7 linked regions of the Xenopus tropicalis genome follow. The protein of the gene in region 4 interacts with the protein of the main gene of each other region in a biochemical or structural test. Links are inferred from orthologs where the notes say so. Each region holds a gene or a part of one and is shown on either strand. Other genes may lie near its edges.

Region 1 (3,966 bases), on a different chromosome or scaffold from region 4:
AATAAACAAGAACACTGGACACTGATAGGTAGAAATATTGGATAAGCAAGAACACTGGACACTGATAGGTTGAAATATTGAATAAACAAGAACACTGGACACTGATAGGTAGAAATATTGAATAAACAAGAACACTGGACACTGATAGGTTGAAATATTGAATAAACAAGAACACTGGACACTGATAGGTTGAAATATTGAATAAACAAGAACACTGGACACTGATAGGTAGAAATATTGGATAAGCAAGAACACTGGACACTGATAGGTTGAAATATTGGATAAGCAAGAACACTGGACACTGATAGGTTGAAATATTGGATAAGCAAGAACACTGGACACTGATAGGTTGAAATATTGGATAAGCAAGAACACAGGACACTGATTGGGCTTGGGCTTGGGAAGGAAAGCATAGGCCTGGGGGGGGGGGGCTATAAAACAGGAGTGACTATAAAAATAAGACAGAATTAATGTTAGTTTGTAAGACTTTTGTTCATACTATTGTATATCTGTGTGTCTTCTCCTGTATTTAGAGTCCTGATGGTACTTAAGAGAAGATTGTCTCCCCCCCCCCAGTAAATGACCTTTCACTGTGCAGCTTGCCTGTTCTATGACTGCCCTACAGAGCTCGAACATTTTGTATGGAAACCAACTCCTAGTTATGAGATCACTGAAATACGTCTGGGCAGTTGGTCAGCTTTAAAACAAGGTCTTTTGTAGAGACAGAAAAGTATTAGACAGTCATGTAACTTGTATGTATTTTCCTATCCACCAAGGGTCTGGGCGTTCGGAGACATGACCACACAAACCAACAAAATGGCTACTTACAGCCTAGGCACCGACAGTTCCTGAGTGAGGGATACACACCAATAGGATAAGCCGGCTCACAGTTTGTGAGTGAGGGATACACACCAATAGGATAAGCCGGCTCACAGTGTGTGAGTGAGGGATACACACCAATAGGATAAGCCGGCTCACAGTGTGTGAGTGAGGGATACACACCAATAGGATAAGCCGGCTCACAGTGTGTGAGTGAGGGATACACACCAATAGGATAAGCCGGCTCACAGTTTCCGCAGGAAGAACCCCTCTCACTCTTACTCACTAATACGCTGCATTAGACGTGCCCTCTAGTTTTGGTAATCCACAACTTCCGGTGGAAATACGCAGACACTCTGGTTGTTGTCTCTATGTTGGCTGTACTCTCTCTTCCCCGTAGTCTTGTTCCTCTGGAGTCCCGGAAGTAAGTGAGAAGCGGAATGGCGGAAAGTCCAGCGGCTGAAGCGATTATCCTCCCAGGAGCTGCGGCAGGTGGGGGTGTCCTTCCTCATCTGAGCGGGCTCCAAGCGCCTGGGACATCTCCTCTGACAACCTCCTCGGTGTGGGACCCGACAGCCAGCGCCGACTGGGATAACGAGAGGGCATCTAATCAGTGCGTGCTGCGGATAAAGAGGTGACACTCGGAGGAGCTTTTATCTCAAGACGGACATGTCTTTAGGAATAACTTCCGGGACATTTGTATTGATTGTGTGCGCTGTGCTTTATGGTCATGGGGTTTGTAGGTGCTACACAGGCAGAACTGGTACTATAGGATGGCAGGGGCCACATCTGGGGGGGGGGAGCATATCTGTCAGGGGACTCACAGGCAGAACTGGTACTGTAGGATGGCAGGGGCCACATCTGGGGGGGGGGGGGGGCATATCTGTCAGGGGACTCACAGGCAGAACTGGTACTGTAGGATGGCAGGGGCCACATCTGGGGGGGAGCATATCTGTCAGGGGACTCACAGACAGAGCTGGTACTGTAGGATGGCAGGGGCCACATCTGGGGGGGAGCATATCTGTCAGGGGACTCACAGACAGAGCTGGTACTGTAAGATGGCAGGGGCCACATCTGGGGGGGGCATATCAGTCAGGGGACTCACAGGTAGAACTGGTACTGTAGGATGGCAGGGGCCACATCTGGGGGGGAGCATATCTGTCAGGGGGTTCACAGGCAGAACTGGTACTGTAGGATGGCAGGGGCCACATCTGGGGGGGGCATATCTGTCAGGGGGTTCACAGGCAGAACTGGTACTGTAGGATGGCAGGGGCCACATCTGGGGGGGGGGCATATCTGTCAGGGGGTTCACAGGCAGAACTGGTACTGTAGGATGGCAGGGGCCACATCTGGGGGGGGAGCATATCTGTCAGGGGACTCACAGGCAGAACTGGTACTGTAGGATGGCAGGGGCCACATCTGGGGGGGGGGGTGCATATCTGTCAGGGGACTCACAGGCAGAACTGGTACTGTAGGATGGCAGGGGCCACATCTGGGGGGGGAGCATATCTGTCAGGGGACTCACAGGCAGAACTGGTACTGTAGGATGGCAGGGGCCACATCTGGGGGGGGAGCATATCTGTCAGGGGACTCACAGGCAGAACTGGTACTGTAGGATGGCAGGGGCCACATCTGGGGGTGGGGGGGGGCATATCTGTCAGGGGACTCACAGGCAGAACTGGTACTGTAGGATGGCAGGGGCCACATCTGTGGGGGGAGCATATCTGTCTGGGGACTCACAGGCAGAACTGGCAATGTAGGATGGCAGGGGCCACATCTGGGGGGGGGGGGGGGGCATATCTGTCAGGGGACTCACAGGCAGAACTAGCAATGTAGGATGGCAGGGGCCACATCTGGGGGTGGGGGGCATATCAGTCAGGGGACTCACAGGCAGAACTGGCAATGTAGGATGGCAGGGGCCACATCTGGGGGTGGGGGGAGCATATCTGTCAGGGGACTCACAGGCAGAACTGGCAATGTAGGATGGCAGGGGCCACATCTGGGGGTGGGGGGCATATCAGTCAGGGGGTTCACAGACAGATCTGGCAATTTAGGATGGCAGGGGCCACATCTGGTGGGGAGCATATCGGTCGGGGTTCACAGGCAGAACTGGCAATGTAGGATGGCAGGGGCCACATCTGGGGGTGGGGAGCATATCTGTCAGGGGACTCACAGGCAGAACTGGTACTGTAGGATGGCAGGGGCCACATCTGGGGGTGGGGTGCATATCTGTCAGGGGACTCACAGGCAGAACTGGTACTGTAGGATGGCAGGGGCCACATCTGGGGGTGGGGAGCATATCTGTCAGGGGACTCACAGGCAGAGCTGGTACTGTAGGATGGCAGGGGCCACATCTGGGGGTGGGGTGCATATCTGTCAGGGAGTTCACAGGTAGAACTGGCAATGTAGGTTGGCAGGGGCCACTTCTGGGGCTGGGGGGCATATCAATCAGGGTATTGGTACATGTGAAGTGACCAATGATCCCAACCAATATCTATGTACTTTGCCCATCACTTGGTTCATCAATCATTGCAGGTTTGAAAATATCAAAAAGCAACAACCACCATGGGGCATATGATCTCTCTCGAAACTCCACAGGGGTCACAAATTTTTTTGAAAAGTAAAAAAGACTTTTTTTCAAAGTTACATTAAAACATCTCCAATGACCCTAGGTGTTTTATGCCTTAGGGCAGTGGTGCCCAAAAGGTAGATTGCGGTCTACCAGTAGATCACTTTAAAGTTTCTGGTAAACTTCGAGGTGCAATGCAGTGGGATGACATCCTGCCGCATCATTCCCCCCCCCCAGCATACTGGGGCTTTTGAGTGCTGCTGCTCAAGCCATCCGTCTTTGTAGTTTCATTCCAGTGTAGCAGATTGTCCCCACCAAGCCACTGTATATATTTGCTCCCACTTAATATATGTTTCTGTGTGCAGACTACAAAGTGAGCCATGAAGAAGGGAAACTGCTACAATCCTTTCACATTAAACTTGAAGTTGGCACTGCATTTATATATTGCTATGTGTATTTGTTAAACATCGATTGATACTTTCTCTTGCTTATTGCTCCAAATGATAGACTTCACACTATTATAACTGTAGTAGATCTCATGACGGAGGCCCGGTGGGAAGAGTAGATCACAGGGTAGC
Region 2 (3,500 bases), on a different chromosome or scaffold from region 4:
GAGAGTAGATAAACCCACATCCCCCATTTAAGCGAAACAAAGTGCCAAACAACCTGTATGAGTTAGAGACAATTAAGCAAACTTATATCTTTCCAAAATAAAATGCCAATGGCAAACCCCTTTCACCTGAAATAGTGGGGGCATGAATCCTAGCAGCAAACCTGTGGTCCTAGTCAAAGAACACAGGTTAGGAATCCTATAAATAAGTAAATTTTATCAGTAGCCAATGTCCTTGACTATATTTTTGATGTGTGGAAAGAAACAAGAGCACCCAGACATGGAGAGAACACAAATTTCCTAGAGTGCCCAAGCTGGAATAGAACTACTCAACTGAGCCGTTGTGCTGCCCCATTTTTACATTAAGGGACAAATAATGTCATAAAGTGAAAATATTTGTTCTTACATCCAAAGATTCTATATGTTGATCCAGAACCTAAAAAAACTATTCTTGGCAACAAATGTCCTGTTTTATATGAGGTTTTTAGTCTACAGCTCTGTAAAGAGACTTGGATTGCATTGGACTTCTGTTTTTTCCTGTGTAAGAACAAAACCACTCTAATCTATAGAGCTTATTTATTGTGTAAACCTGCATCAGTAAGCCCTAGTTCAACTTGAATGCCCCCAATGGCTTAATATAATATAGTATAGTTAATATAGTAGTGTTTCTGAAGCAAACATTTATGGCAATAGAACACATTTAATTACTATAAACACAAATGTTTCAGTGTTGCCATTCCTTAAAGGGATACGGTCATGATTTTTATAGCATACTTTTTATTTCTAAAATTGCACAGTTTACATAGCAAATTATTCACTACACCATTTAAAATGTTATTCTTGAACCAACAAACGTATTTTTATAGCTGCAATATTGGTGTGTAGGCAGCCATCTCAGTGCATTGTGCCTGAGTCTGAGCTTTCAGAAAGAGCCAGCACTACACATTAGAAAGGTTATCTGAAAGCCGATTGTTTCTCCTACGCAGTGTAACTGGAGGAGTCCGAAGACTGACTTGGGATTTCTTACTATTGAGTGCTATTCTGATATCTACTGGGAGCTGCTATCTTGCTACATTCCCACTGTTCTGCTGGGAGGGGGGTTGATATCACTCCAACTATCAGCTCAGCGGTAAAGTGTGACTGATGTTTATCAGAGCACAAGTCACATGGCTGCAGCACCCTTGGAAATGAAGAATATGGCTAGCCCCAAGTGAAATTTCCAAATTAAATATATATATAAAAAAAAAAAAACTGTTTTTGAAAGACTGATTTCAATGCAGGATTCTGCTGGAGAAGCTCTACTAACTGATGCATTTTGAAAAAAACATGTTTCCCATGACAGTATCCCTTTAAAGACCATCCTTGATAACTTGCAATATACAAAAGCTTATTAAAAACTTTCAACAGGATTAAGCTGTCACCAGTCTAAATGTGCATTAGACATTACAACAAATTGAATGTATGGACTTATTTACAGGAATTGGTATATTCACAGAAACTTACCCTGAAATTGTGAAGCTACTAGCTGCTGGTTAAATGTCACTCGAAAGCTGTTTCTTGGCTTTTTCTTACACAGCGGGCAACTTTTCTTTTAAATTCACCGTTACGGTCTTCTCTCCACTCTTTCTGTACATGCACAATACAATGCATTTAGTTAAATGCCGAGTTGTACAACACCATATTCCTTACACAATCAGATTATCTTTTGCATCCAAGCCAGAGACCAGATCTTAACATTATGCATGTAAAATACTTATATAAATAAATGAAAAGTAAGGCTTTTTTTGTTGGAAGGGAGAAAAATCCCAAACGTTACCCGACTTAAGTGGTCTACCTAAAAGCTGCCTACAACAATTAAGTTTCTTTATAGGACCGTTTCAGTATTGCTTTAATACCAACCCTCCCCCAAAATCACACTTTTTTTTTTTGACGGTCAGCTCCTATAAAAGGCTACTCTGTGCTCCCTATGCCCAGATCATGTATCAGAGATAACAGTCTATCATCTGATGCAACAAGGGATAGAATATAAAGTTTCAATTACATTTTTCATTTAATGATAGTTCTTCATTGGATACCTGGTATTGTAAAACAACATCTCAAGTGCAGCACTTTATACTTTTCTGTGTCATTTGGAAAGATACTGCAAGTGGACTGTGCACTCAGCTGAAAGTACTGCAGTGCACTTAAGAACTTCTTTCCACATTACCTATAAGGGTTTGATGTATCTGCACTGTTTGGCAGTATTTTGCACTGATACCTAGTCATTGCAATCCTACAATAGGACTGCCAAAACAACCCTGAAATATATTGGCGGAATGGTAGATTTGCAAGATTGCCAGGGCCTATTTTGGATCCCAGTCCAGACCCCATTGCTGATTACATCATGTGGGGCCTGGGAACAGTGAGAAATAATATATCAATTTAACTTCTTAGTAATTCTTTGATGATGCCCCTGCCTCATGGGTGCAACCTTGGTGGTTCAGTGGTTGGGGAGTAGGGGAGAATGTATGTGGATTATATAAGGAGCTGTAGCTGCACTGTATTACTCTGCTGAAAGACAACTCTGCACATAAGCAATACGGGCAGATATTTCTGCATCAGTGTAAATCCCCAGTAATATGTAATTTCCAGTGGGTGGCAAACAGTGCAGCAGCACCACCAGCAGACAGGAAAATGGCACTAGCCATTTTGCAGATCAGTGGGAAAAAACAAAAAAAAAAAAAACACCCCACTAACTACACCAACATTGTACAGTTATCCAATGTCACCTGATTTTAAGGATCAGGATTCTGTACATCCCTAACAATTTGTTTCATGTCATGCAAGGAGTTGGTCTTTACACGTTTCAAATTTAGAGACCAGCTACAATTCCACAATTTTGTTTAAAAGCTTAAATAAGATTTGTTTATTCATTTGTGCCCCGTTCCATAACGCATTATGCATAATTGATTTGATGGCTTGGAATCAGATCCATTAAAAATGGATATCAATTGCTCTCATACAGTTGTCTAACCTTACTAAACAAATGATCAGTTCTGAGCTAAGGCAAAGAGGACGTTCTGAACATGAGGCAACTGTAATGCATCAGGGATTGCACTTTTGAACAAAAGCAATTTTAGGAACAAATCTAATTTATGGGTTAACTATGTTTAACCAGTGCTCCTCTGGTTTCTCAGCCATTGCTCGCTCTCAATATAACCCATAAAAATCACAACACAGCATGTATCAGTCCTATAAGCAACAACCCAAATTAAAGTTTTATACATTGATCCAGAGAGCCCCTTTGTAGAAAATAAATTTACATATAAGAAAGTATATAAGAATGTACCGCTGCATCCACATTTGCTGGAGAGTCTCCATTAGGGTCTGCTAGCATAGAAATTACACTGATCATTATGGTTTCCACTGTATGGATAGGTAGCCAGCGCTCCTCAGGTTTCTCGTAGCCATATTTGTCTTCTCCGGGTTCGTGAAGAATGGAAATACATACATCACCATTCTTA
Region 3 (4,151 bases), on a different chromosome or scaffold from region 4:
ACATCTTTGTCAAAAAACGAAACGCAGGAGGAGAGTAGGGGTAATCAACTGGAAATTTTAAGCGGGCCTAGGACAAAAAGAACATGTAATGGTTAACAAGCAAGTGAGTATGGTTGAGATCCATGCCTTTGTTATAACACACCGTAGCTCCGATTAGCACAAAATAATGGTTCTCAAGCAACATATCTAAGAGTAGATCAACCAAATTTCAGTCTATTAAAAAAAAAAGTGTAATTTATTAATTTTTTACTTGTTTGCTCTCTTTCTGTAGTAACAATAAAACAGTATCTTGTGCTTTATGATAACTAAGCTAACATAAATCCATGTTTCTGGCTAAAAGATCATCTTGGTTTTTATTTTTAAATGCTTCAGCAGGCCATAAACGGGCCAATAAAAGCTGCTAGGTCAGTGCCTCCAGGCCAAATTAACAGCTTATTGGCTCGTGTATAGGGCCCGTCTGACCAATAGCTGATCAATTTTCAATACGGCAAGTTTGAAAATCCTATTGAATGAGGGTGCATTGGCACTCTGAATGTGGCTATCATGCAAGAGGCCCCAATAAAAGATTTGAATTATGTCCAAAAGCTTTCAGAATAATAGATCTCATACTTATAGAACTGCATGATGGGTAAGCAAGCTCAGCTGTCATCAGATTAATGATAAGTAAATAAAAAATAAGGTCTGTTTTCAGTTCCAGGGAGGCTGGATAATGAGATGCACCAATTCCAGAGTTTTATGATTCAAACCTTTGTAAAAGATTTGGCCTAATACCGAACCAAACTCTAATTTGCATTTGAAAACTAACCTATAAAAGGAATAAAAATGTTCAACTTCTGGGTTTACATAAAGAAATAGTGATTTTAAGGATTCAGATTTGGTTCAACCAGGCACATGGATTCGTCTGAATCCGAATCCTGTTGAAAAAGGCAGAATCTTGGCCAAACGCCGAAACAAATCCTGGATTCAGTGTATCCCTAATAATATGTATATTATACATATATTGAAAGTGGTGGTTCACCTTTGAGTTAACTTTTAGTATGTTATAGAAAGGCCAATTCTAAGCAACTTTTCAATTAGTCATTATGTTTTTCATAGTTTTTGAATTATTTACTCTTTGCAGCTTTCAAAGGGGGGTCACTGACCCCCAAGCCAAAGAACTATTGTTCTGCGAAGCTATAGTTTAACTGTTATTGTACATTACTTATGTTTCTATTCAGGCCCTCTCGTATTTATATATCAGTCTTTTATTCAAATCACACCATGGTGGCTTAGGTAATTTGGATCCAAGCAACCAAATAGCTGCTGAAACTCCAAGCTGGAGACAACCAAAAACTGAAATAATTAAAAAAAACTACAAATAAAAAATGAAAACCAGTTGCAAATTGTTTCAGAATATTACGCTCTACATCATACTAAAAATTAAGTAAAAGGTGGACAACCCCTTTAAAGGGGTTGTGCACCTTTGACTTAACTTTTTAGTATGATTTTTTTTTGGCTCAGGGGTCAGTGACCCCATTTGAAAGCTGCAAAGAGTTAGGACAAGGAGGCAAATAAATTAAGAAACTATGAAAAACAAATAATGAAGAATATTCGAAAAGTTGATTAGAATAGGTCTTTATATAAGATACTAAAAGTTAACTTAAAGGTGAACCACCCCTGTAAAACACAATTACATTGTTCTAGCCATTTAACATCTCATTATAAACCCCTATTAAATTTCTTGATCTGTGCAAATGTCTAGGAATAAGTAGTCCCTTGAAACTAATATTATATATATATATATATATATATATATATATATATATATATATATATACACACACACTATAGAAGGCACATCTTAACAAAACTGCCCAAAACTAAGTATAGAGACCCCTTTAATCCTTAAAAGAATGAGGCTTCATACATGTAGCTAGTATGGCATACTAAAATGTAAAAGAGTGGAACGCCTATGTTTGATTAATCTTCTGAAAATCTTTATGAAATAGGCACAGGATGAATACATATAAACCCAGGGTATCTCCACAAACACAAAGTGCCAAATCAGAAGTTAGATGAAGAGTTTAGAGCGTTTTCCTGTTACACAAAGGCCTTTATTGCTTTCTAACACCGTGCATCCTGTGGCTGGGGCCTAGCAGCTGTTGTTGGACTACAACTCGCAGAAAACAGGATTAAAGATTTAGTAGTGCCACACTCTTTCAGTAAGTTTTAGTTTTGGGGTAGCTTTGAGGGCTGGTTGAGTTTCATGTGAAACATTAGTTTCGGGCAAGTTACGGCTATGGCTGTAGGAGTCACATAAACAAAGGAAAGCTTGTTGTGCAGAAAGGCCCAGCGATGTACGCAATACCCACCCACGCCTCTATTACTTACTGCCTCTTTAAATACCCCCCAGCGTGGCTTTCCCTCCCCAAGGCCCCTATGATCACGAACTCCACCATTTCACACACACCTAACCCTCACCTTGAAGTACCCCCCCTCATAGAGGGTGTTTGGGGGGCCAAAGATTGCCACCTCCCAGTTGTACAGATCCCCCTCATCTACCAGGGTGACCCGGAACCCCTCCACCGGCTCTTCCTGTAGCCCCTTGAGTTCCAGCATCAAGGCCTTCTGAGAGCTGGGCACCGGCGCCACCGGCCGGGCCATGGTAGTTCCGCTCCCCGCTTTCTAACCAGGAGCCCACAGCGTCCTCCGCGTAGGGCAGGATGGGATCAGTAGGCTTTTGGTGTTTTAGCAAGAAGGGGCTGCTAGACGACTAAAGGCTTTATTACGACATGTTACGGCACAACGGAGCCGCTTTGCGAATTAACTTGCTGGCTGGAAGAGTAACGGGTGCCGGAAACTGCAAGTGAAGCCACGGCGTTGTGGGAGGAGCAGCCTACAAATCCCACAAGCCCACGAACACTGTGACGCACTGGTGCGAGGGAAGTGTAATCTGAGCGGAGGAAGGAGGGGTCTTGCTGAGGCTGATGGGAACAAAGCTAGATGTTGGTTTCTAGTGGGGAAACGTGATTTACAGAGCTTTTATTTAGTAGTGCAGTAGAAAACTTCAACTTGACACAAAGTTTCTGAATGAACAGTGAATATATCCTTTAATCTCCTAGAATATAACCTTCTAATACAGCTCACCTTAAAGGGCACCTATCACCCTCAAATTGTTTCCCTCATCAGAGGTTAGGGAAACAATAGCTTTTTGTGAAAAAAAAAAAAGCTCCTACCATTGCTAGGCTGCCTGCAGCAGAAGAGTGCTCCAGGTGTGGGCAGCCATATTGCCTCATTTCTCACAATGTGCATAATGAGTGAGTGCCACAAGTTGCTTATTATGTGCATGCTTGTGATGGAGGGTGAATTGCATCCACCACGCCTAGATCAGGCGCATGCGCATCATCTGCAAGTGGAAAGGCGCATTTATTATGCCCACGCATGGCAAACAACATGGTTGCCTGTACTGGGAGCTTCATTCAGGTGCGGGCAGCCTAGAAATGGCAGTTGCTGTATTTTTTAAAAACCAAACTATCGTTTTCCCTCAACCAAAGTGCTGCGTCTATTAGCCTGCACCTCTGGTGGGAGAAGCAGTTAAAGGGTCATAGGTGCACTTTAAAGGACAGGGAAACTTAGATTCAGTGGGTGGCAATTTATTGGGTGCCCCCAACACTTTCCATCAGGCCGGTGCTACACTTTGTAAAATGCCACTTCACTACTACTAGTTAAAGACTAGTTGCTTCCTACTCCATGTACGGTGTTGTAAACAGTAGCATAAGTAGAAGTTACTAGGCCCTGAAAAATCATTTTGGCACACCTTGAAATTAGAAATAATATCTTTCATATACATATAATGAAACTACTTATTATTCAGCAGGCTCCCAACAGTCACAGGGTGTGCTTGCTTTAAAGTTACATTCCTTGTTAAAGGAGATCTAAACCCTTAAAAATTAATATGGCAAGAAGTTGGGAAGTTTTTATATACTGGACTTATTGCTCCAGCCTAAAGGTTTAGCATATTTATTATAGTACTGATCCAGTATTTCAGAGTTGTCACAGGGAATGACTCTGTTAGAAGAGTCTGTGACACTCACATGCTCAGTGTGCTCTGGGCAGTGGCTGAGAAGCTAAGCTTAGGGGTTGTTACAAATTATAAAGCAGAAAATAAGGTT
Region 4 (4,130 bases):
GCTGGCCCTCCAGTCCCTCCCCCCAAGCATTCCCATCTCTATCTAAGCCATTAGCCCTGCTGGCCCTCCAGTCCCTCCCCCCAAGCATTCCCAGCTCTATCTAAGCCATTAGCCCTGCTGGCCCTCCAGTCCCTCCCCCCAAGCATTCCCAGTTCTATCTAAGCCATTAGCCCTACTGGCCCTCCAGCCCCTCCCACCAAGCATTCCCAGTTCTATCTAAGCCATTAGCCCTACTGGCCCTCCAGCCCCTCCCACCAAGCATTCCCAGTTCTATCTAAGCCATTAGCCCTGCTGGCCCTCCAGTCCCTCCCCCCAAGCATTCCCAGTTCTATCTAAGCCATTAGCCCTGCTGGCCCTCCAGTCCCTCCCCCCCAAGCATTCCCAGCTCTATCTAAGCCATTAGCCCTGCTGGCCCTCCAGTCCCTCCCCCCAAGCATTCCCAGTTCTATCTAAGCCATTAGCCCTACTGGCCCTCCAGCCCCTCCCACCAAGCATTCCCAGTTCTATCTAAGCCATTAGCCCTACTGGCCCTCCAGCCCCTCCCACCAAGCGTTCCCAGTTCTATCTAAGCCATTAGCCCTACTGGCCCTCCAGCCCCTCCCACCAAGCATTCCCAGTTCTATCTAAGCCATTAGCCCTACTGGCCCTCCAGCACCTCCCACCAAGCGTTCCCAGTTCTATCTAAGCCATTAGCCCTGCTGGCCCTCCAGCCCCTCCCAGTTCTAAGCCATTAGCCCTACTGGCCCTCCCACTAAGCGTTCCCAGTTCTATCTAAGCCATTAGCCCTACTGGCCCTCCAGCCCCTCCCACCAAGCGTTCCCAGTTCTATCTAAGCCATTAGCCCTACTGGCCCTCCAGCCCCTCCCAGTTCTATCTAAAACCATTAGCCCTACTGGCCCTCCAGCCCCTCCCACCAAGCATTCCCAGTTCTATCTAAGCCATTAGCCCTACTGGCCCTCCAGCCCCTCCCACCAAGCGTTCCCAGTTCTATCTAAGCCATTAGCCCTACTGGCCCTCCAGCCCCTCCCAGTTCTATCTAAGCCATTAGCCCTACTGGCCCTCCCACCAAGCGTTCCCAGTTCTATCTAAGCCATTAGCCCTACTGGCCCTCCAGCCCCTCCCCCCAAGCATTCCCAGTTCTATCTAAGCCATTAGCCCTACTGGCCCTCCAGCCCCTCCCACCAAGCGTTCCCAGTTCTAGCTAAGCCACTAGCCCTCCAGCCCCTCCCACCAAGCGTTCTCAGTTCTAGCTAAGCCATTAGACACCCCCCCGGCTGCCAGGTTTACTGGGGGCCCAACATAGTTGTTCATGGAGTGAGGGGGGGACCCCACAAAGACACGGGGGGGGGGGGGGGGAGGACCTGGGATGCACAAAACAGTAACTGTGTATAGGGAAAGCTGCCAATCTATACCAGAAGGCACACATCTGTACAGCTGCCCATTCTGATTGGCCCACTCAAAGGCTGCAGTCACATGGCCATAAAGGCCAAGGAGACCCGGAAGAGTTGTCAGCACAAAATCCGCTGATCTGTTGCTTCTCCAACAAGCAATTATATTAGGGCTGCATGTGAGTCTCACGGGATTGGCCGACAGCAGTCACCTGGCCATGCTGAACAATACAGGGGTCTGGGGAGGTCAAAGGTCACTGAAGTTACACAGACTGAAAAGGGTTAAAGCTACTGGGCAGTTTAACCTCCCAGAGAGAAAAAAGTCCCCAGGCCTTGGTTCCACACAGCAGAGGGGCCCCCAGCAACAGTCGAGGAGCCAAACCCTGCAGCCAATAGGAAGAAAGCCCCCCCGAATAACATGCAGCCAGGGAGGGTCTTATACTTACAGCTGCCTCGAGTAGAGACCCTCGTCTATCTCAGCAGAATTCCCGTTCCGAGCCATCCCCTGCAATAAATCCATTGGGTTAATCTGGGGGCCACATTAGAGCCCTCCCCTGCAATAAATCCATTGGGTTAATCTGGGGGCCACATTAGAGCCCTCCCCTGCAATAAATCCATTGGGTTAATCTGGGGGCCACATTAGAGCCCTCCCCTGCAATAAATCCATTGGGTTAATCTGGGGGCCACATTAGAGCCCTCCCCTGCAATAATCCATTGGGTTAATCTGGGGGCCACATTAGAGCCCTCCCCTGCAATAAATCCATTGGGTTAATCTGGGGGCCACATTAGAGCCCTCCCCTGCAATAAATCCATTGGGTTAATCTGGGGGCCACATTAGAGCCCTCCCCTGCAATAAATCCATTGGTTAATCTGGGGGCCACATAGAGCCCTCCCCTGCAATAAATCCATTGGGTTAATCTGGGGGCCACATTAGAGCCCTCCCCTGCAATAAATCCATTGGGTTAATCTCGGGGCCACATTAGAGCCCTCCCCTGCAATAAATCCATTGGGTTAATCTGGGGGCCACATTAGAGCCCTCCCCTGCAATAAATCCATTGGGTTAATCTGGGGGCCACATTAGAGCCCTCCCCTGCAATAAATCCATTGGGTTAATCTCGGGGCCACACTAGAGCCCTCCCCTGCAATAAGCCCATTGGGTTAATCTCGGGGCCACATTACTACTGGCCCCCAGCTAGAAAGCCAAGGGTACAGGTTGACTCTGAGCAAAGTAGAAAGGGGTTAGAATATGGCGGCACAGCCCGGGGGGCACTCACGTTGGCCGGCGCAGTCTGATCGGTGCTCACGGAGTTGGAGGATGAGCAGTTTGAACCCGTCTTTGTCTCAGATCCGGACACGCGACGCTTCTTGGACAGCGGCGAGCTGGACATCTAACCGGGAGAAAAGATCAGGTCAGTGTATGCGGTTGTACAGGGCTGGTACCGTAGCAGGGGCGGGGCACGAGGGACGAGCAAGCAGGGGCGGGGCACGAGCAAGCAGGGGGGGGGCACCAGGGACGAGCAAGCAGGGGCGGGGCACCAGGGACGAGCAAGCAGGGGCGGGGCACCAGGGACGAGCAAGCAGGGTGCGGGGCACCAGGGACGGAGCAAGCAGGGGCGGGGCACCAGGGACGAGCAAGCAGGGGCGGGGCACAGGACGAGCAAGCAGGGGCGGGGCACCAGGGACGAGCAAGCAGGGGGGGCCGGCGAAGGGGGGCACCAGGGACGAGCAAGCAGGGCGGGGCACCAGGACGAGCAAGCAGGGGGGGGCACGAGGGACGAGCAAGCAGGGGCGGGGCACGAGGGACGAGCAAGCAGGGACGGGGCACGAGGGACGAGCAAGCAGGGGCGGGCACGAGGGACGAGCAAGCAGGGGCGGGGCACGAGGGACGAGCAAGCAGGGGCGGGGCACGAGGGACGAGCAAGCAGGGGCGGGGCACGAGGGACGAGCAAGCAGGGGCGGGGCACGAGGGACGAGCAAGCAGGGGCGGGGCACGAGGGACGAGCAAGCAGTGTGCGCAAACACAGAGCAAATACAACAATTTCTGTAACTCTATAATGAATATTATAGAATGTCAGCTCTTGGGCAGAACAAGCAGCTCCTGTTGGGCATTACAAAGCTGCCATGCTGCAGGTATTGCCCCACCTGGGGGTGAGAGAAGGTACAACGGCAGGGAGACGGGGGCAGGCACAGCAGTGAGACTGCAGGAAATTCTACGGTATCTCTGGGGCCCAGGAAGGGTTTGGGGCCCCACCATTTGGCGTTTGCCCCGTATGAAGCCTGGCATAACCTACCCAGCATACTGTACCCCCCCCCCCCCAACATGGGGCAAAGCGGCTTTACACAGGCCTCTCTAGCAGTAGCAGCTGTACTCACACAGTGACACTCACAGGCGCCCAACTCATCCCCACGCAGCCCAATATAATAACACCCCTATACTATTTGTGCCACCCTCGCCGCACAGCTAAACCCCCCGTGGCAGCAGAGCGAGCAATCAAACAGGGTGACCCCCAATGCAATTGGTCTTTATTTCCACGTTTCTGCCCCCAACAACTCAACTCAATGGTACAATGTAACCAGGCTAGAAATATAAGCTCCTCCTACTTATATTGGTATCCTGGCACCAAAAGGCTGTGGGTAACCTGAACAGAGAACCCACAGTGGGGTGGGACAGTGGGACAGACCGTATCAGGGTCGGTGCCGGGACAGAGGGACAGACAGTATCAGGGCCGGTACAGAGGGACA
Region 5 (4,283 bases), on a different chromosome or scaffold from region 4:
TAAATTCATGATGTTTTATCATTGTGCTTAAGGACATGTGGGAATAAGATGCCATGCAAAGCTTTGCAGTTTATTGGATGGATTTTATTTGAATTGGAGTTCACAGATTGTGTAATCTACAAAAACATGATTTTCTGTGTGTTGTATACTCTTTGGAACCCTTATGACACATAAAATGTCAATAGTATGGATATATTGATGTAGAACAGGGGTCCCCAACCTTTTTTTACCCATGAGCAACATTTAAAAAAAGTTGGGGAGCAATGCAAACATGAAAAAAGTTCTAAATGGTAAACCACAGTGGCAGGCCCTAGGCAACCCGGTCGGCCTTCCCACCCCACCCCACCCCCACCGCAGTTCCATCAGGCGGGGATCGGCAAGGAGGGAGTCATTGCACCACCGTGTAATGACAACCGGCAGGGGCAAGAGAAGGGAGCATGGGCTAGGGGTAGGAAGGAGAGGGTCTTTAAGGTCAATAAGGAAGATCCAACCCTTTGCAAACACTATGTTAGAGTGGTCTAACCTATGGATCAATAATGCGCAAATAGGAAAACCTGTTACATGGGTCTCTGCCCATTAACAGTGGAACAAGGAAGCATAGGGTTTTAAACCATAGGGGTATATTAACCCTATGGCTCCCTACACCAGGGGCGCTGCTGCCGTGAGGCAAGTTGAGAAACTCGCCTCAGGCGGCAGCACCCAGCAAGTTACCAGGGACGGAAAAAAGTTGCTCCTGGTAACTTAAAGAACCGCAATTCTGATTTTAAATCAGAATTTCGGCTCCTCTAGTGCCGAGAGGACAATTGCGCTCTCAACACTAGCAATGCGCCCCCCCATGTGAAAAACCTAAACACAGGGGGAGTGAGGGGGCGGCTAGGACCCCTGAGGCAGCACTGCCCTATACTGTGCATTATCAATTTAACTGTTCAGAAGACTGCTGGCATTCATATTTATTATGTTAGTACCCAATGACATGTGAGAGGTACTTTGCTGTAAATACAACCTCTATGGTGTCTCTGAGGTGACTTTCAGATATATAACTTACCTTTTAGAGCTTTTGCTAAACATAAAGTTCAGCCTACGCGTTGATTAAACAACAGTTGATATAACAGTCGTGCCAATTTATATGCACTATCATTTCAGGAGTTTAGGATTTAAAAAATTTTTTTTAACATTTACAGCTACGCATTTCTACATGTTGAAGCCACTAAACGTTCTCCTGCTGCCAGAATGCTCAAAAATACCATGTTTATGCGCATGAACTGGGTAAATACCACACAGAACGGCCCCTAAAGTTTTCTTGCGGCTCTAAAGTTTCGCGCATGCGTTAATGGTAAGCGCTCCCTTAACAGCGGCGCGCTTGCGCATTGGTCTCGGTAAAGCCCCGTCTGTTACGTCATTGCGCCGGAAGCCTTCCGCTCGGTGGCCCTCGGTGGCGTAGCTCCGCATACAAAGGGAAGCTAGACCCTCTTTCTTATTTGTAGGCCGGGCGGAGAGCTCGGGCCCGGGGCATGATCCCGCTGAATACTCGGGCCTCCGCCGGGCGGAAATGAAGCCAAGATGTCGGTGTCTGGGCTGAAGGCCGAGCTGCGGCTCCTCGAGTCCATTTTCGGAAAGGAGCACGAACGGTTCCGGATCGTCAGCTGGAGGCTGGACGAGCTACACTGTGTTTTTATCCAAAGTACGGGGGGAGCTCTCACTATCCACTGCAACATCACGGTGTGTATACCCATCGTATGCAAGCAACGGGCCAGACACGGAATATACCAAGTGACTAGCTGAACTTAGGTTAAGCCTGACTATCTTTTGCGAGCGCCCTAATGTGTCCAGTCTTTAGGCGGCTGGGCAAGTTGCACTGTGTATTCAGCTATGGCTTGCTCTGCTGTACTACCGTTCACCCATGCACACACTAAACAGCTGACAAAGTACTCTGTATGTGCTTCCATCATCTGGGGGTCTCTGGGATAAACAGTGTATAGACTGTATATTGTTTTAGTTCTGTAGTATTTCTTTAACATAGCCCTCGGTTTATTGTGAATGTATGCCTTTTAACAGCAGCTGTGGGCTCAGAAACACCTAAAGGGCCATAGGTAGACTCTTTACTGTATAACTCATTGATCTACACACTGTACTGTTTAAATCACCTACCACAATAATCAGTGGTTGCTGCATGCATAATGGTCTGTGTCTTTGACCCTACATAGTTATTTGTATAGTTGCCAGTCTGCCTGTAAGGGGTACACTTGAGTTACTGGTGCCTGAATGTTTTGTATCCAGAACATTGGCTGTCTGTCAGGTATATTAGCCCATGTGATGCTTTCTTAGGTTTATTTTCTTGCACACCTGCTAGGCTGCACCAGTGCAGATGCCTTTAGCAACCCACATCCCATATGTTTTGATTATTTTGTGTTTGTAAGGTAGAAAATGAAAGCAAAGATCTGATTGGTTCTGTAGTTTAGTGCATGAATGCAGGGTTGTAGTTGTATGTAATTTAACAGCAGTGTGCCAGAATATATGCTACTTAGTACTTTTCCATAGTTTGTGCAAGCATGGCCAAACAAACATCTAGAAATTTTTAGGGTGAGAAGTTTTGGGAGTTGTAGTTAATGAGACCTTATGTATGTATGTATATCTTTATTTATAACGCACTACTTATATACGCAGCGCTGTACAGTAGAATACATTAATACAAACGGGGGGGTTATTATAACATAATAGATAAATACAAAGTATAACAATAAATACAAGATACAGTTGCAATAAGTTAAGAGTCAAAGACACAAGAGGATGTAGGTCCCTGCCCCGTAGAGCTTACAATCTATATACAGACCAGCTATCAGTTTACAGAGACATGCCTTTTTACTCAGAAGAAAAGCAATGCAAAACTATGGTACTCCCATGACAAATCCATAAATTATGCATACGGAAAATACGTGTTTTTTTTTGTGATATTGTGTTCATTACAAGACCCCATTTTGTCTTGAGGATGTGGTTTACTGCCTAGGCCCAGACTGGCAGGCTGTAGATTTTGGCAATTGCCAGAGGGGCTGCTGTAAGAAGCCATAGGCATTCACTATTTAGTGAGCTGGTGTGGGGGCTATATGGTTCTCTGTTTACTTAATATGCCAGGGCCTATTTTGAATCCCAGTACGGGCCTGTTACTACCTATGGCTGCCAAAGAAGGGTCAACTTTCCTTCCAGAAATGATTATACACACGCACACAAATCAGTCATTTGTCTGTCTCCCCAGCCAGACTGAATGATGGCTGCACCAGGAAATATTAGTATTAATCTAATCTTTATTCATTTCCTCTTATTGGTTGATGGGTTGAGTGTTGGACATCACTGTCTATACACTGTACACAACAACCATGTCAACTCTGATCACATATGCAAATTATGATTATTTTATTGCAATTTCTAATTAAGCTGCAAGTAAACATAAAAATAACTTTGTGTGTGACCTGCAAAGGACCAGTTTTGTATGTGCATTCAAAAAGTAGTCTAAACCACTCTACCATCTGAGAGCAGCTATGTTGATCTGCTCCACAGTCTTGTCTCAGAACCCAACCTCCACATTACTTTCATTGGTGGTCAGGGAACAGGGCAGATGGCAGCTTTTCTTAATACTAAATAGTAAACGTCATGCTCTTTGGTAGTAGTTAGACCAAAAACAAAAAATATATCTAAGCCGTTAGAGGGGTGATTCACCTTTATTTCAGTTTGGTACAGAGAGATATGGTTCAATTTAAAAACAGATCCTTTTCAAAATATCTACCTTCAAAGTTAGTGCTGCATAAAGTCTCATAGCTTTGCCATTGCAGGGCGGTACAGGCTATGCTTGCTTCTGTGTATACCCTTCTCTTGCTTTTTTTGCTAGTCATTGATCAGATTCGCTGATTCCTGTTTGCCAATCATATCACAGATATTCAGATGAATGGCACTTGCACAGTAGTAATCAATGCCTACTCTTCATTTACTCTGCTGGGACTGTCAGAATAATGTAGACAGGACCTTGCCCAGCCAGGGTGTCAGCGATCCGATCCCCTGCCTTGGGCAGAGTGCAGAGACTTAAGGATCTTTGCAGCACTCATTTTGCAGGTAGATATTTTACAAATATCAATTTTTTTTTACGCTAAACCAAATTTACAAAAATCATATAAATGACTATCATTTGTCCCAACCTGTAATAAAGGTGAATTACCTATTTAAAACATAATGTACTGCTGCCCTGTACTGGTAAAAGTTGTGTTTTTGCTTTAGAAACACCCCTATAGTTTATA
Region 6 (4,211 bases), on a different chromosome or scaffold from region 4:
AACACAATACATACCTTATCCCTGTTTGGGCTTTAAACTATTCTGGCCAGCTGAACTTGCGGCCACCATATTGCCTTCCATTACATCTTAAAGAAGCTGTCCATCTTTGAGTTAACTTTAAGTATAATGTAGATAGTAATATTCTGAGAATTAAAAATGAAGACCAATTGCAAATTTGTAGATTATTTCAGCTTTTGCTTTTCAGCTTGGAGTTTCAGCAGCTATTTGGTTGCTAGGATACAAATTACCTTAGCAGCCAGGGTGTGATTTGAATGAAAGACTGATTTGAAAAGGAGAACACCTGAATAGAGAAATATAATCTGACAACAACAATTAAACTGTAGCTTCACAGAGCAATAGTTTTTTGGTTGCTGGGGTCAGTGACCCCTATTTGAAAGCTGCAAAGAGTTGGAAGGCAAAAGCTATAAAAAAAAATAAATGAAGACCACTTGAAAAGCTGCTTATAATTTGCCTTTCTATAACATACTAGAAATGAACTTAAATATTTAGCCAATTTAGCCATTTCTGCGCAGTAGCAGGCAGCTGGGGAAGTGGGAGAAGACAGAACCATCACTGGAGAAAACAAAGATTGCAGATCGGTGCAATCACAATCAGCAGGCAGCTATAGCAACCATAAACTAAGGTTGCCATTTGCTGATGGTTTTATACAGGGAAGGGAATCTGGAGGTCAACAGTGACACGCACTCTAATGAACAAAATCTCCAGTTCCTCTTCTGTGCATGCTCCACCAGGCTGATGATAATATTGACTCATTGCGTGAGTCCTATGTGAAGGCTTGGGCTCCAATGCTCATGTGTCCAAGGCTTTCACCAATGAACAGCATGGGCGGGTACGTCCACCTTTGCCGAAGCTAGTGTGAGACCCATCAGGTCTTGGCCTGGGGTCAAACCCAGAGGACTATGACACCAATCCATGGTGCACAAATCAAACAAGACAGGTGCTGAAGTGTGCGAGTGCAATGCCATGGATTGCCTTGGTAAGGCTCCAGCTGGCGGCCAAAAAGAAAAATGCCTCCCGCCGTCCTAATTGCCAGGGCAAATTAAGTTAAGCATAATTAAGCAGAAGGTGCATGTGCAAAGTCCCCAACTAAAATATGTCAGGCATTCCCTTATGGGAACACAGCTCCTCTGCTTTCATCAAGCTTCCGCCTGACAACCTAAAGGCCAGAGGACCAAGTGTTTCTCATTTCGATACTACACTTTGTTAGCCAAAAGGTCGTCCAGTCCGATAGACTGACCCATCTCAAAAAGGTGTGTGGCCACCTTTAGACATATGATTTTATTATTCTAGATTTAGACCAGAATCCTTTACCCCAAACACCCTCTGGCTACAGGACCATGACTGCAACCCCCCCCCCCCACCCCAGTGAATGGCACACCAAGTCAGTGCATTATCAATGTCTGATCCAGTTTCAGACAGTCTGAAGGCCCCATACATAGGCAGATAAGCTACAGACTAGGTCTGAAGTGGCCAAATTAGCAGCTGAAGTCTGCCTGGGATGGCATGTAAAATAACACTACCTTTGTTTAAGGCTTTAAGCAATTACAGCCATTGGGTGGGGGTGTCTTACATATTGCCTACCCCCCTCCCCAAGTCAATGGTGCTTTCCTTAATGGCCACACTTGCAGCAGAGTTGCCAGGTTGGTGTTTCTGCAAAATTGGGCTACCAATTTAAAGCCCTGGCAGGTTTCCAAGGTACAAACCCACCAAGGAACAGTTTGGGGCTATTTTTTGGAGCCTTAATCTACAGTTAGGATTAATATAAAACTACAATACCCAGCATGCAATTGGACAGTATAGATAGAGGCTCTGTTTTGTATTCCTTTTTGCTCTTTCAGGGTCAACCTGTATATTCTGCAACCTGCTCTATAGGGTATGTGATTGTACTATTACTTTCTGCTGTGATGTGGGGGCAGTTCTGCAGTTGATCATTAAGATATAACTCTCCGGATATCTTGGGACTGCTGAGAGTTGTAGTTCAGCACACCCATATGTATCTCATGTCTGGGGTTAATGCAACATTCGGAATCTAATTTTGTAGTCTTCCCAGCTGGACTGGGCACAGAGGTCAGGGAATTATCAGCATTCCCAGTAACTGGGTAGTGATTATACGCTTTAAAAAGGCATGTTTCCCATATATACTTGCACATTTTGGCCTATTTTTGGGCTACTTTCAGACTTTTGGACTGGTTTTAGAACTGACACTAAACTCTAAACTCATTTGACTGCAAGCTGGATCAGAACAATTTACTAACCATGGCAGCCACAGATCTGGACCAAAAACAGGATGTGACACTGTAGACAATGTAGCGGATATTAAAGGGAGTAGAGAAAACCTGTATATTGTAACTAAGCAGTGGAAGAGATACGTAAAATGAATGAAGTTTAGAAAACAGAGATATAGCTGCTATAAGCTGAATAAAATTTGATAGCAAAATATCTCAAGTGACCCATCTGAATTATACAGAGGGTGTGCCAAGATCCAGCTACACTGCCATCGCCATAAGCACAGCGGCCATTGTTCCCAAGAGCCGGCTCTCCTCACCTCTTTCCCACAGAGCCACGGGCGGCCGAGGTCCCCGACTCTTGTCCTTTCCTTGCAGTCACCGAGCTGGCCGCAGCTGGATCCACATTCTGTGAAGCCATCGGTATGTAAAAATGACAAAAACCGGGCCTTGAACGTTGCTGAGTATCCGGCTTCCACTCCCAGAGATCTTTGACGCTTCCTCTTAATTCTGTAACTAAACCTACCGCCCTCTATTTGAAATTTTTAACTTCTACACAAAGCGTCCAATCAGCGTCGCTTAAATATTTAATTTAACCAATCGGAATGCTCACAGAACGGTTTCCGCAGAGACTGGCAAGTTTGGTGTCGGAAGCGTAGGCGTTTTAAACAAAGGTACGGGATTGGCTAAAGTAGACTGCTATGCTTTATTGTGATTGGAAGAATTCCGTTGCCTATCAAAATAAATAAATAAATAAATAATACGTGTGTGGGAAAGTTCTGTCAGGAAAGAGTATTATCTTGAAGTTATACTTTTTATTATACTTTTTGTTTTTATTACGACGTGAAAAGTATAAAATACCTTTGCTCAAATTTCAATCGTTTGACGTTTTCTTGTAACAAGGATGTTAACTAACCCAGTCAAGTCATTAGAAGGAGAGCAGTACTTCTCTAATGTTACAGAGTAGTTGCCATAAACTGTTCCTGTCATACCACCCCTTTCCACCCCATGTAAAAGTCTGTCCAGCAAGGGGGAAACTAAAATAATCTTCCACTGAAGAGTCCCCATATGTGCTTACACAGAGCTGTCAACCCCCCTATATTTTTCTGAGTTACCCAATTTGGCTTTCTCTCCCATGTCTCTGGTCTGTTGATAGCATTCTGATTTTTCTCATTAAATTCATGCATGTGCATTCAGTGACAACATAGTGAGCATTTGCATATGCGCAATCAACAATTTTTCAGCTTCAAAGGTCAGTTATGCACATGTATTGACATCACTTCTGGTTAGCACGAAAAAATAACACTGCACATCCTTGACTATCGGAGGTTGACAGCTCTGCAACTCCCCCTATAATCTGGGTAGTTACTTAATTGCACTGTCCCTCCCCCAGTCTCCTGATGCTACAAGCAATTTCCCCAACTTTTCCTAAGGGCTCTGGCACACGGGGAGCTTAGTCGCCCGCGACAAATCTCCCTGTTCCCGGGCGACTAATCTCCCAGAAATGCCATCCCACCGGCGAAAGTGTAAATCGCCGGTGGGATGGCATACGTGGTGGCGCGATTTCACTGAAATCGCAGAAGTTGCGTTGAGAGGAAACTTCCATGCTCAACAGGCATCAAATTTAACTGAGAGATTTTGTATGGGTGAATGGTCAAAAATACCGCCATCGAGAACCAAGACACTCATCAAAGGCTATAGGAGGCGTCTAGAGGCTGTTACATTTGCAAAAGAAGGCTCAACTAAGGGGCCCATTTACTTACTCACGAACAGGCCGAATGCGTCCGATTGCGTTTTTTTCGTAATGATCGGTATTTTGCGATTTTTTCGGAAAATTATCGCGACTTTTTCGTTACCAATACGATTTTTGCGGAAAAACGCGAGTTTTTCGTAGCCATTCCGAAAGTTGTGATTTTTTCGTAGCGTTAAAACTTGCGCAAAAAGTTGTGATTTTTTCGTAGTGTT
Region 7 (4,265 bases), on a different chromosome or scaffold from region 4:
AAAAAAAACAACTGCCCAGGCTGGCCAAACATGGGGCAATTCAAGAGAATTTGGCTGGGTTGGTCCTTGAACATTGCAATCATATCACACAATCTGGCCACACTTGAAATGACCAAACAGGACAATTGTTTGGCCATTAGAATACAGGACAAGATAGCAATTGTTCACTTCTAGGATGGCAGAAAGCATCAATAAAGTGTTTTTTTTTTTTTTTTTTTTAAATCTAATGGGGACAAGATTGACACATACACAAAAAGGCCAACACTGTGCTCAAAACATTGCTTTATGGGTCCATTCTAAAAGACCAATGTTTAATGTTATTAAAATAATGATGTCATACAAAGAATACAGAATGCCTGGGCAGGCTAGTGGCAATAATAAAAGTCTCTTGGAGGGCCCCATTCAGCTTGCACTATGCCCGTTAAAGCATATGAATGAATTTACCATGCTACTGAAAAGAGTGCTGCAATGTGACTAAACTTAAGGTGGCCATACACGAGCAGATCCGCTCGCTTGGCGATGTCGCCAAGCGAGCGGATCTTCCCCCGATATCCCCACCTACGGGTGGGCGATATCGGGGACCATTTAGGTAAAAAAAATAATAATCCGATCGTTTGGCCCTGGGGCCAGACGATCGGATTATGTGGGCGGCAATGGGGCAGTCGGATCGGGGACCGCATCAACGAGCCGATGCGGTCCCCGATCCGACCAGATTTTCTAACCTGGCCGATCGAGATCTGGCCAATTCCAGGCCGATCTGCTCTCCCCATACACGGGCCGATTAGCTGCCGAATCGGTCCAAGGGACCGATATCGGCAGCTATAGTCGGCCCGTGTATGGCCACCTTTAATCTGCCCCATAGATAAAACTGATACTTACATGTTACATAGAGTGATAAGTAAGTAACCCAAGTTCTGCCTAAAAAAGTACCACTAATAAAACTGTTTAACATGGATACCATTGCAACTAATCGCTGGCTCACTCTGCTTCATATGGCAAAGGTGGGCTAGAACAAATGTTCAACCAGTTGAGTACAACAAAAACGTCTAGCTTGTGCTCTACTCTGCAGTCACATTTTCTGCATGGCCAAGGCACCTAACCTCAAGGGTGCACAGTCCCACAAGTCACTTGGTAACCTGAAAACTGATGACCCTTTAGATACACAGTAACCTCTATGTAATAACTCAGGCTAAATCTGTCTCTCTGCCATTGTCACCCTACTTTTTGGTTCTTTCCATGTTTATGCACTCCCTAGAGGATTATTAGAAAGCACATGCCAAACAAAACATGGAAAGCGGTGTAAGGGCAGAACGTATGTGAAAAAAAAACAGCTTTAATTTCAATCCAAGCTGCATCCATTAAAAAGACACACAAATTCATGTCAACACTCCCCGTGGGAACCCGAGCTGCATTTAATATCCTGTATCAAGTGGTTTATTACCTTTTAGCACTAGTGGACAGCTTAGCAGTGGTTTTACTGGACAGTTTGGTATTTTTCTTTTGTTGGACCGCCGAGGGTTTTCTTTCTTCTTGCTCTTCAGGTTCTGGTGCTGGTGGGTCTCGCTGGTCAGCATCTGAACTTCCACTACTGGTACTAGGGCTTTCATCATCTGAGCGCTGTCTATCACTAGACATCTTGATGGATTCTGTTTCTTCTGGATGCAATCTGCCGAGACAAGCCAAGAAGTGTGTAGGTGAATGGGCAGGTTTAACTGCTTAGATTTGATACATCTGTTGCACACAATACAATGTAACATTTAGGTGCCATTGAAGCTATAACAGGTACCCACTCTGCCTAATTCTGATTTATCAATGCATTAGCACCCAAAGCCAAGCTTTTGTAGAGATAATTAAGATTAGGATGTCAGTCCATTACTCACATCACCAACTGATAAAGACTACATTCCCGTTCCCCATGTGTAGCAGTTAAAGGGCTCCAGAACTCCAATCCCATGTGAAATGTATAACTCTCCAAAAGTTTGTTATGATTTGTCTTGTTAGGGGGGAGGGGGAGTATGCAATTCCTACTTTTTGCCCGTTGGCATGTACCCAATTAAGGAAGAGGAGCAGGGTTTTAATATTTACCCCAGCCTGGACACTCCAGCTTAAAGAAACAGTCCCTGGCCATTTCAGTTTATCAGGGTGCTTCAGGTTTGTTGTTCAACAAGCACAGCAGGGGGGTTCTGATTGGACATACCTGGGGGGGCTTTATCCTACATAGGCATGGCTATACAGGGCTTTATTTACCAACAGAGCATAGACTGGCCATCCCTGATTTACTCTTCATATCAAATGAATACTTCCTCAAAGTGCCACTCTGGAAGGTCCATACAACAGATCTGCTAAACTAAAACTCCCAGATGCCTCTCTGTCAGCAGTGGAGCTGTTTCTCCAGAAAGGGTCAGGTTAAACAGCCCTGGTCACGGTGAGGGGGGCTCTATAAAGCCAAGGAGGGGGCCGTGCTATAGGGATTGGGGAGGGAGGAAGCAGCCTTTGTGGTGCTTGGGGGGCTGTGAGACTGGGCAGTAGGACTGGCACAGACAGGCACCACAGGCGTAACTTCAACTCCCAGCGTTCCCTTCCAGCACAGCTGGAGCAAGGATGCTGGGAGTTGTAGTCCCACAGCAGCTGGAGCGGTAAGGGTTACCCTCAGCCCCGCACTAGGATATCAGCATGGTGTGTAGCAAGTGAGGCGTGAAGTCAGGGCTAGCACCCTCCTCCTCCTCGTTGCCTTCTCCGGGGCTGAAAACAAGAACAAAGCTGTCCGTCTCCCCGCCTCCCTCCCCGCTTCCCCCTTTACCTTCCGGGCGCGCCGGTCCCTGCTCTCCTCACGCCGCTGTGTGTGCCGCTGCCGCCGGGAGATCCTGGGAACGCAGAGCCGGGGAAACGAGCAGGCTCCGGCCGGCTGCCGAACATTGAGAGTCGGAAGAAAGGAGGAGGAGGAGGTGGGGGGGGGAGGCTGCAGTGCGTTCCCGCAGGCTGGTGGCGGCGCTGCTGAGCGCGGTGGGAGGCGCGGGAGCGGGCGGATTCGGGAACAGAAGAATCGCGAACTCTCCGGCTCGTGCCCAAAGCGGCCGCCGCGGGGTTTTCCTGTTCCCTTAGCCCCGCCCCTATCCGCGCAGACCCGCCCCTTGGCTCCTCCCCCGCCCGGCGCAAAACACTGGAGTCAGCAACTTCCTGCGCGCTCCCTGGGCTCGTCCCTGTGCGGCCGGCTGCCGGGTTCCCTCAGTGCCAAGCGGGGACAATAGAGTTTGCGCTGTTTAATGGCACGTTGTACTGAAGCGAGAGGCTGCCGAAAAGTTCCTACGTTTCGTCATCATTTAAACGCCTGGGGGCACTACTTCATATAGGTCTAGGAGAGGAAATACTCCTGTATTGTGCTGACCAATCACAGTTGCGGTAATGCTTGGGGGGCTAAGGAAGATATGATTTGATGGGTTCTGCTTCCACCCAATCACTATGCTTGTAGTAAGAGAGGACCTTAAAATGAATGCAAAAGAGGAGTTCAAAGATGTCGTGTTTATTTGGGTTTGTCCATCCAGTGCCTTGGCCTTTTCTGTCTGTATATCAGTGGCTCAGGGGCAACATGTTGCTCCCCAACCCCTTGGATGGTGCTCTCAGTGCCCCCAAAGCAGGTAGTTATATTTGAATTCCTGACTTGGGGGCAAGTTTTGGTTGAATAAAAACAAGATTTACTACCAAATAAAGCCCCTGTAAGCTGATAGTGTGCATAGAGGCTGCCTAATAGCCAATCTCAGCCCTTATTTGGCTCCTCCATTAACTTTTATGGTGCTTGTGTTGCTCTCCAAGTCTTTTTACGTTTGACTGTGGCTCTCTGTATGAAAGGTTGGGACCCGTGCTGTAAGGTATTACCTCTGCGGGCCCCTACGCATCATGCATGCTCAAGGGCAATATGGCAGGTAGCTTCATTTTTAACAAAAAGTTCAAGAATAATACATTATGAAAAATAAATATAATTCAGTAAGATGGAAGGGCTTTCCTAGCTGATGAAAGTGAGGTTTTTTTAATTCTAAAGTTATTGCAGATGTTTTAGGAATGGTACCCTCTCCATATAAATGGCCCATTTGTAGAGAAGAAACAGCTCTTTAGTCAATTTCAAGTGCACAAGAGCCTCCACTTCTGTTTATTTAGGAGCACAAAGTACAAATGATTTGGGGACTCCTACCTGCTAACTCAGTGAATAGAAGGATAAGAGATACAACATAGGGCAAAGGTGGCATACACGTGTAGATTTTTAAAAGATC

The links.
Region 1: of the proteins of uba1 (region 4) and ube2z, one has a biochemical effect on the other in vitro, tested with the Homo sapiens proteins (3 studies listed by BioGRID). The link is inferred for Xenopus tropicalis from reciprocal best matches to the Homo sapiens genes UBA1 and UBE2Z.
Region 2: of the proteins of uba1 (region 4) and ube2g1, one has a biochemical effect on the other in vitro, tested with the Homo sapiens proteins (3 studies listed by BioGRID, with this or other methods). The link is inferred for Xenopus tropicalis from reciprocal best matches to the Homo sapiens genes UBA1 and UBE2G1.
Region 3: of the proteins of uba1 (region 4) and cdc34, one has a biochemical effect on the other in vitro, tested with the Homo sapiens proteins (7 studies listed by BioGRID, with this or other methods). The link is inferred for Xenopus tropicalis from reciprocal best matches to the Homo sapiens genes UBA1 and CDC34.
Region 5: of the proteins of uba1 (region 4) and ube2q2, one has a biochemical effect on the other in vitro, tested with the Homo sapiens proteins (3 studies listed by BioGRID). The link is inferred for Xenopus tropicalis from reciprocal best matches to the Homo sapiens genes UBA1 and UBE2Q2.
Region 6: of the proteins of uba1 (region 4) and ube2c, one has a biochemical effect on the other in vitro, tested with the Homo sapiens proteins (5 studies listed by BioGRID, with this or other methods). The link is inferred for Xenopus tropicalis from reciprocal best matches to the Homo sapiens genes UBA1 and UBE2C.
Region 7: of the proteins of uba1 (region 4) and ube2e3, one has a biochemical effect on the other in vitro, tested with the Homo sapiens proteins (3 studies listed by BioGRID, with this or other methods). The link is inferred for Xenopus tropicalis from reciprocal best matches to the Homo sapiens genes UBA1 and UBE2E3.

The regions. Positions count from the first base shown.
Region 1 is NC_030686.2:12,230,080-12,234,045, forward strand, and holds the start of ube2z (ubiquitin-conjugating enzyme E2 Z), read left to right. Parts: upstream 1-1,166; 5' UTR 1,167-1,259; coding exon 1,260-1,453; intron 1,454-3,966. Other genes in the region: uncharacterized protein LOC101731254, read right to left, coding at 1,106-1,118. UniProt on the Homo sapiens protein: Catalyzes the covalent attachment of ubiquitin to other proteins. Specific substrate for UBA6, not charged with ubiquitin by UBE1. May be involved in apoptosis regulation.
Region 2 is NC_030678.2:101,249,464-101,252,963, reverse strand, and holds part of ube2g1 (ubiquitin-conjugating enzyme E2 G1), read right to left. Parts: coding exon 3,326-3,500; intron 1,624-3,325; coding exon 1,537-1,623; 3' UTR 1,501-1,536; intron 1-1,500. UniProt on the Homo sapiens protein: Accepts ubiquitin from the E1 complex and catalyzes its covalent attachment to other proteins. In vitro catalyzes 'Lys-48'-, as well as 'Lys-63'-linked polyubiquitination. May be involved in degradation of muscle-specific proteins.
Region 3 is NC_030677.2:105,629,502-105,633,652, reverse strand, and holds the start of cdc34 (ubiquitin-conjugating enzyme E2 R1), read right to left. Parts: upstream 2,801-4,151; 5' UTR 2,644-2,800; coding exon 2,461-2,643; intron 68-2,460; coding exon 1-67. UniProt on the Homo sapiens protein: E2 ubiquitin-conjugating enzyme that accepts ubiquitin from an E1 ubiquitin-activating protein, and catalyzes its covalent attachment to other proteins by an E3 ubiquitin-protein ligase complex. In vitro catalyzes 'Lys-48'-linked polyubiquitination.
Region 4 is NC_030684.2:525,443-529,572, reverse strand, and holds the start of uba1 (ubiquitin-like modifier-activating enzyme 1), read right to left. Parts: upstream 2,801-4,130; 5' UTR 2,777-2,800; coding exon 2,663-2,776; intron 1,894-2,662; coding exon 1,835-1,893; intron 1-1,834. UniProt on the Homo sapiens protein: Catalyzes the first step in ubiquitin conjugation to mark cellular proteins for degradation through the ubiquitin-proteasome system.
Region 5 is NC_030679.2:90,108,054-90,112,336, forward strand, and holds the start of ube2q2 (ubiquitin-conjugating enzyme E2 Q2), read left to right. Parts: upstream 1-1,483; 5' UTR 1,484-1,560; coding exon 1,561-1,719; intron 1,720-4,283.
Region 6 is NC_030686.2:19,654,190-19,658,400, reverse strand, and holds the start of ube2c (ubiquitin-conjugating enzyme E2 C), read right to left. Parts: upstream 2,801-4,211; 5' UTR 2,668-2,800; coding exon 2,567-2,667; intron 1-2,566. UniProt on the Homo sapiens protein: Accepts ubiquitin from the E1 complex and catalyzes its covalent attachment to other proteins. In vitro catalyzes 'Lys-11'- and 'Lys-48'-linked polyubiquitination.
Region 7 is NC_030685.2:62,866,566-62,870,830, forward strand, and holds the start of ube2e3 (ubiquitin-conjugating enzyme E2 E3), read right to left. Parts: upstream 2,801-4,265; intron 1,667-2,800; coding exon of another isoform or gene 1,636-1,666; coding exon 1,442-1,635; intron 1-1,441. UniProt on the Homo sapiens protein: Accepts ubiquitin from the E1 complex and catalyzes its covalent attachment to other proteins. In vitro catalyzes 'Lys-11'- and 'Lys-48'-, as well as 'Lys-63'-linked polyubiquitination.